2 linked regions of the Macaca mulatta genome follow. The protein of the gene in region 1 interacts with the protein of each later gene in a biochemical or structural test. Links are inferred from orthologs where the notes say so. Each region holds a gene or a part of one and is shown on either strand. Other genes may lie near its edges.

What was found.
Region 2: the proteins of KPNB1 (region 1) and KPNA3 form a complex in vitro, tested with the Homo sapiens proteins (2 studies listed by BioGRID and IntAct, with this or other methods). The link is inferred for Macaca mulatta from reciprocal best matches to the Homo sapiens genes KPNB1 and KPNA3.

Annotation. Positions count from the first base shown.
Region 1 is NC_133421.1:62,381,961-62,386,322, forward strand, and holds the start of KPNB1 (importin subunit beta-1), read right to left. Parts: upstream 2,951-4,362; 5' UTR 2,611-2,950; coding exon 2,571-2,610; intron 2,470-2,570; coding exon 2,411-2,469; intron 2,153-2,410; exon of another isoform or gene 1,490-2,152; intron 169-1,489; coding exon 1-168.
Region 2 is NC_133422.1:28,954,014-28,957,663, reverse strand, and holds part of KPNA3 (importin subunit alpha-4), read left to right. Parts: intron 1-1,149; coding exon 1,150-1,235; intron 1,236-2,495; coding exon 2,496-2,582; intron 2,583-2,934; coding exon 2,935-3,104; intron 3,105-3,650. UniProt on the Homo sapiens protein: Functions in nuclear protein import as an adapter protein for nuclear receptor KPNB1. Binds specifically and directly to substrates containing either a simple or bipartite NLS motif.

The DNA of each region.
Region 1 (4,362 bases):
TCGTCGAGCATTAGCATCAATAGCAAGCCACCTCTGCTGATATTGTGCCTTGATATCTGGATCTTTAGATGTCAAAGAGTTCTTGATTTGTAGACCAGCTGCAACTCTGGCAACCTGACTATTTCCTGGATTTGCCAGCACTCTGGACAGTTCCACAAGGAAAGTGGGCTGTTAAGGGAAGATAAATTTGTAAATAAAATTATCTTGGGAATTTCCACAACTGAGAATAATTTATGGAGCACTGAACCACCGGAGGAGGGGTGAGGTGGGGGGGGGAACTAATGTCTAATTTTTTTTTGGTATATCATAAGCATCTCAGGAAACCACAAAATACCTACTACAAGACTTCTATAAAAATGTTACTTAGTATATAACAGGAAGTCTTCCACCTTTCTCATGGAGCCTAGCACTTAATGAGGAATTGCAGATTTTCCTATCAAAATCATTCCTAGTACCCAAATTGTCACGTTATACTCCCTGAATTGCAAGGTTTTAGAGTATGGTAGTAGTTAGTCTTCTGTGTATACCGAGGTGTCCCAAGAATTCTTAATAATGTCTGGTACTTGAATGAATGGCTGTTACGATGCGGGTAGAAAATAAAACTGTTTATCTAAATTTCAAAAACCTTGGTCCCAAAAGAATGATCCAACTTTCCATCTCATGGCAGCAGCAGGGTAGCTTTTCATCCCATGGAAGGAGGTGATCTTTTATGAGAGAGGGAAATATAGATAAGCCTAAACAAACTTAGGAGCCTCATCCTCCGTTTTATTTGTGGGCACTCAGCAAAAAGGGAACAACGAAAAAAGCAGATTTACAAGGAAAATTGGTAAGATATTTAGAAATAGGGAAAAAGTGAAAGAAAAAAATCTTCAGGCAAGCTGTTCAAGAAAAATAACTTTGTATCTAATAATCAACAATTACTTGCTCCTATACATTTGGACTTTAGTTGAGGAATACAGTGGATCCCTGAAAAGCATGTTCTTTTGTAACCTTTTGTAATCCACAGGCCTCAAAAACTACTCCCTTTGTTTAAAAATTTAACACACACACCTCTCTCTCCAGCAAAAAAACCGTGCCCAAACAGCAAAGTTAGCAGGAAAAGCCAAAAGCAGATACATTTTTCTTACTGCTAACAAGTTCTGCAATCACAGCAGAAGATAATTCTTAAAAGTTTTATTAATTATGTACCACTAAAGAATGTTAAGAATGTTAGGAATAAGATAAAAAGCTTCTTGCAAAATTAGCAAAAGCAGAAACAGGAATAATACCCTAAATGGAATTATCAGCCTATACTAGTGGAAAAATCTATTCTAGGAAAGGATAAACAGGTTAGTTGTAAAAATTGGCACATATGAAGAACAAAAAAAAAATCATTCAAAGGCAGCCTGTATAAAATAAGCCTTGTCACTTTGTTGATGTTGACATTTTGCCTATATAACACAAAGAAACACATATGGTTACAATGTTATTCAGACTTATTTCCTATTACCTTTCTCAAAGATGTCAAGCATCATCCAATCCTTCCCTCTGACCCCATCTCCCAATAGGAGATGGACACCAAAGAGAAACTTAACTGGCATCTAGGCTGTTTCAACCAATCCATCCTACATTTTTATACAAAGGACCAGTCTCTAGCGGACTTAGCTTCATTTTCTCCGGACCCCTTAAATTTTAAAATATGAAAAACGAGTAACTTTCCTCTGTGATTTCATCAGGAAACAGGCCCGATCTCAAAGATGAGCCTCAGACTGTTGTCTGGGTGCAGATCCCTAGTGATTAGGTTTCTATTCATCCAGGTCAGAAGGAAAGGAAAAAAAAAAAAAAGGAAGAAAAAGAAAATACCCCGAGAGGAATAACCGGGCAGAAGAGGGAAAAATATTAGTGGAAATGGGTTAAGAGGCAGTCGGGTGCCAGGCCTGGCCATGAGCACACACCAAGGTAGCGAGGAAAGGGCAGAGCTCTAGGAAATAGGTGGGGAGAGCCACAGGGGCCACGGGACAGGAAGGATAAGCCGGCCGGGGTCAGACAGGGAGGGCACCCGGGCCCAGAGCTTCCACATGGCCCCTAGGCCTGACTCCCCCACCCCCACCTCTGCTGAACACGCAGCGCCGCGCAACCTAACTTCCCTTCCCTCCCTCTTTCTCCCTCCCGCTGCACCGCCGCCCTCAGGCCGCGCAATGATTGGGCGACAGGCAGCCCGGCGCGCCCCGCCATTGGCCAGTCGCAGGGCCCGGGGCGGGACACACCCACCGGCTTCCCGATGGCGGGGTTAGGTTGGACCGGGTTGGGGGGGAGGGGGACGGGATGGGGCGGGGTAGGTTCCCGAGGCCTGGGCCTCCCGGAGGGCGGGAAGGCCCCGCACGCAGGGGATGGGGACGCGGCGGGATGGGCGCGGCGGGGTAGCACGCACCAGGTTCTCCACGGCCGCACGCTCCAGGAACTTCTGCGCCGCTTCCAGCTCCAGCCGATCTGGGGGGAGGAAAGTGGGAGACGGAGCGGGGTCAGAGGGGCCGGGCCTCCCCTCCCCCACCCCAATCACCTCAGCCCGACCCCCGGCTCCTGCGTCCTACCGGGAGACACGGTCTTCTCGAGGATGGTGATCAGCTCCATGGCGGAGGTGGCGGCGGCGGCGACTCCTCCTAAGACGACGGCCCGGCCTTTCGGGCGGCGGCTCGAACTGGGGATGGGGGTTGGGGGTCGGGTGGGAAGGGAGGGTGGGGTGGGGGGCGGGGGTCACCACAAGCCCATTCACCGGCTCTTTCTGGGTAGTCGCTCCAGCTCCCCTTAGTCTCTTCTTCTCTTACTTCCTCCCTCCGAATGGGCTGCTGGCAGCGGGGGAGGGACCCCGGGGGCAGCTCAGAGCGCGCTGGTGCTCGGGAGGCGGAGGGAGAAAGAAGGAAGAGAAGCTGTGAGTGAGAGGCGGCACGCAGGGAGGGAGCGAGGGCGGGAGGAAGGCGGAGGGATATTCGGGCCGGACCTCGCCGCGGCGGCGCCGCGCTCCACGGCGATTGGCCGCTGTTCTGGCCACGCGGAATCCCCAATTGGCCAGGCGCTCAGCGTCGAAAGGCCGCCTTTCGCCCATTCGCCTGCTGGTTTCAAGGCCCGGGTGGCTGGGCGGGCAGGGGAATGGAGCGCCCTAATTGGCCGAGGGGAGGGAGATTGGGATGGGGCCGGAGAGAGCCCGCCGCTGATTGGGTTGGGCTTGGTAAAGGCCTTGAGCTCAGACCGGCTGAGCGCCGAGGAGGGTGGACCGAAGGCACGACTCGGAGCCTGCGCGATTGGCTGGGATAGTGGGCGTTGATAGGATAGGGTGCCTGGGAGAACTGGGGAGAGGAGTTCGGGGTCGGGGCGCGGGAAGGCGGGAGGCGCCCGGCTGCCCTCGGAGCCCGGCGCGGGGCACGATGGGACGCCCCCGGGAAGAGGCGGAGCTGGGTTCGACCGCTGGGGCTGCGGTTGGGTAAGCGCCGTCGCTCCGAGGGGCGTGTTGAGCGAGGCTTTCGCGGGCGTGAGCGGGGGAGGGGGGACCGTTGAAGTCCTGCGCCGCGCCCGCAGGAAGCTGCTTTAATGGCTAGGTCGGCTTGGTACCCTGCTCTTGGCTGGGACGGATCCGTAAGGCCATGTGGCTCCACTTGAAATGTGTAGATGTGGAAACTGAAGCCCAGAGAGGGTATGGAACTTGCCCAAAGTCACACAGCCGGTTAGTGGCTTGGTAAGGAATGGGTTCAGGAGCCTAGAGGGTATGGAACTTGTCCAAGGTCGTACAGCTGGTTAGTGGCTTGATAAGCTCAAGCTCTCCTGACTGCCGTTGTCCCTACAAGCAGCTTTCTCTCCAAGGAGTCCCCTAGGCCTGCTTATATAGGGCTTGAGACCTGTACTAAGTCTGACTTGCTTAGGGGTGAGCTAAGGGAATCCTACACTTAGACACCCCATCCTTGACAGAATGGAAATGCTTCACCCTGTAAAGGCTCAACCTCGAACCAGAAAGAATGTGTGTACAGGCATAAAGGATCGTGGTTCTTGACCTGTTTTAGTTCTGAACTCCTGAAGAAACTCATGAATGCCTTTTCTTAGCAAAATGCATATAAAGAAAATGTGGGCCGGATGCGGTGGCTGATGCCTGTAATCCCAGCACTTTGGGAGGCCGAGCGGGGCGGATCACGAGTCGGAGACCATCCTGGCCAACATGGTGAAACCCCGTCTCTACTAAAATACAAAAAAATAGCCCGGCGTGGTGGCGCATGCCTATAGTCCCAGCTACTCCTGAGGCCGAGGCAGGACGATCTCTTGAACCCTGGAGGCAGAGGTTGCAGTGAGCCGATATTGCGCTCCGTCTCAAAGAAAAGAAAAAAATGTGCATACAGT
Region 2 (3,650 bases), on another chromosome or scaffold:
ATCAGCCTTTAACCTTTTTAAGCTATTCTGCATACTATTTATTTGAACATTATTTTCTTTCCTCCCCTTTGCAATGCCCCATCCTTAGCGTATCTGTGGAATACACTCCTCACTCCCATCCTAAAACACACACACACATGCACAAACACCCTGTTATTTGCTTCTTAGTTAGTTTCAGCTCTCTTGATCTAATCCTTATCATTCCTACACATCATGATCCTTCCATGCATGATACCTTTTTTATTTCCAGCTGTCACTGCCTTTCTTTTTAAACGCATCTTTGAGAAGCTAGTTCAGTTGCCACTTTCTTTGTGAGGTCTTCCATCACTATTCAAAAATATAGTGATCTTGTTTTTTCAACAAAATTATACAGCCTTGTAATATCCCTAGTATGTAAAGCAGATGGTGTAATGGAGACAGATGGGGTTCTAGCTTTAAGACCAGCCTAGAGCCTGTGATAGTGGTTAAAGTGAGATGATTAGGGCCTCAACTAGCACTTGATATTAGGGGTGATTATATAAATGTAAGAAATGTTTAAGAGGTAAAATTGACATGATATATTGATTAGATGTGTCTGGAGAGGAAGTCAAAGTCAAGGGAAATAATGACTGGCTGAATGTTATAATACCAGTGGACATAAAGAAGCAGGTTCATAGTGACTGGCTTTGGAGGTCAAAGAGATTTTTAAAGTAGAAATGGCTGCTGTGTGCAGTGGCACTTGCCTATAATCCCAGCACTTTGGGAAGCCAAGGTGGGCAGATCACCTGAAGTCAGGGATTCAGGACCAGCCTGGCCAACATAGTGAAACCCTATCTCTACTAAAAGTACAAAAATGAGCCAGGTGTGATGGTGTGCACCTTAATCCCAGCTACTTGGGAGGCTGAGACGAGAATTGCTTGAACCCCAGAGGCGGAGATTGCAATGAGCCAAGATGTGCCACTGCATCTCCCGCCTGGGTGACAGAGCGAGACTCCATCTCAAAAAAACAAAAACAAAAACAAAAGTAGAGATGGCTAGCAGGCAGTTGGATTATAACAAGGTGAAATTCAAGGACAAGGCAAAGGATAGCCATATCATATCAGTCTTAAGAGTCATGAATTTAAGTGGTAGTTAGTGTCTAAAAAGATGTTTTACTGTTTTTTTTTACAGTCCTTCATTACAGTTTGAAGCTGCTTGGGCATTAACTAACATAGCATCAGGAACTTCTGCACAGACTCAAGCTGTTGTGCAGTCTAGTAAGTAAATTCCTTATTGTCTGAACTTTTTATTTTTTAATGATGGCAAGGAAGTAGAATTTTGTAATAAATTTTATCTTGTAATATTTTTTAAATGATGACTTTTATAAGTTACTTTTGATGACCAATATCTTTTTCATAGCCATTATTAATCTATCATGAAAAAATTTTAATTGTGGTTACTAAAAGAAGAGTAGAGTTTTATCTTTTGGAGTAGACATCATGCTGTGATAACAGGATTTTAAATTTCCATTTCTGATATCTTCAGGATGCTGAATGGCTTCTGCCTTTTAGCTTATGACATTTTAAATTTTACTTTCCTCAAGGTGTGCTAATAATTATTGTTAAATGAAACTGACACAAGCTCTTTAGAAAAGTACTAGATATCACCACGTATGTTGTTTCTTATAGTATGGGACACTTAGCTAACTTTAGGTGTGGTAATCAAGGTGATTTTAAGTAGCATGTGATATGGCACTAAGTTACATTGAATCATGTATTGAGAATACCATTCTCACCAGACCCACAGATGGCTCATGCCTCTACTCCCAGCACTTTGGGAAGCTAAGGCAAGCAGATCACTTCAGTTCAGGAGTTCAAGAACAGCCTAGGTGACATGGCAAAATCGTGTCTCTACAAAATATTAAAAAATTAGCTTTGCATGGTGGCGCGTGTGCCTATAGCCCCAGCTATTCAGGAGACAGAGGCGAGAGGTTCGCTTGAGCCCAGGAGGCAGAGGTTTCTGTGAGCCGAGATTGCACACTGCATTCCAGCCTAGGCGACAGAGTGAGACCCTGTCTCAAAAACAAACAAAGGCCGGGCGCCATGGCTCACCCCTGTAATCCCAGCACTTTGGGAGGCCAAGGCGGGTGGATCACGAGGTTAGGAGATCGAGACCATCCTTGCTAACACGGTGAAACCCTGTCTCTACTAAAACTACAAAAACAAAATTAGCCGGGCGTGGTGTCGGGCGCCTGTAGTCCCAGCTGCTTGGGAGGCTGAGGCGGCAGAATGACGTGAACCCAGGAGTAATACACAGATACAGCAAAAAAAAAAAAAAACTACTTAAATATTACTAGGGGAAAATACTGAAATTGATTATTTTTAGGGTAAAGATATTTGCCACATTTGTTCTTCCAGCAAACTATAATTGGGCAGCTACAATATGCCGGGCTCTGTATTTGATCAATTTCTTTGAGCTGAAATCTGTAAACTCTTCAACATGTTGCTAGTATAAATATTAGTTTTTCTTTATAACAGATGCAGTACCTCTTTTTCTGAGACTTCTTCATTCACCACATCAGAATGTTTGTGAACAAGCAGTATGGGCTTTGGGAAACATTATAGGTAAGTGGTTTGAAAGGAATCCTGTTAAGAATCTAAATTAACTTTTTTCCTACATTGGCATAGCCATTACATACTATGTTTCCTCTGAATTTAATGTGGGTTGACTCTCTTCTTGCTTCATAAGTACTAACTTAAGATGATACTCTTTGAAAAGGATATACAATTTGCTGTTAGCATTGGTAGGTTAAATTTATGTTCCCCAAATCAAAATCTGGAGAAACAACATTTGATGCCTTTGACTAATGGTGAGGAAACATAGAACGTCAGTGTTCCCACATGAGCCATTGCATACATTTCAGACTTTCTCATCCTGAATGTAAGTTTTTTTTAAATACAATTTTCATTTCTGTAGGTGATGGTCCTCAATGTAGAGATTATGTCATATCACTGGGAGTTGTCAAACCTCTTCTGTCCTTCATCAATCCCTCCATTCCCATCACCTTCCTTCGGAACGTCACATGGGTCATTGTCAATCTCTGCAGGAATAAGGATCCCCCACCGCCTATGGAGACAGTTCAGGAGGTAAATGAAGAATTGTAAAGGCCAGATGGTATATTTTCCCTATGTTTGTACTTCAGGAATTCATTTACAGGGGACAGAATAACACATATACTGATTTCATTGCAGGTGTGAGTTTTTTTTGGGTTTTTTTTTTTGAGACGGAATCTTGCTCTGTTGCCCAGGCTGGAGTGCAGTGGCGTGATCTTGGCTCACGGCAAGCTCCACCTCCCAGGTTCATGCCATTCTCCTGCCTCAGCCTCCTGAGAAGCTGGGACTACAGGTGCCCGCCACCATGCCTGGCTAATTTTTTTGTATTTTTAGTAGAGACGGGGTTTCACCATGTTAGCCAGGATGGTCTCGATCTCCTGACCTCGTGATCCGCCTGCCTCGTCCTCCCAAAGTGCTGGGATTACAGGCGTGAGCCACCACACCCGGTGTGAGATTTTTAAAGTAACATACTGTATTTAGTTACTGACCCCTATGAAATAAAAGTTGAGTGTCTAACTAAAAGAAGGTCCATTCATCCTATGCTTATTTTTTAATTGATTATCTTCATAAAAAGAAAAT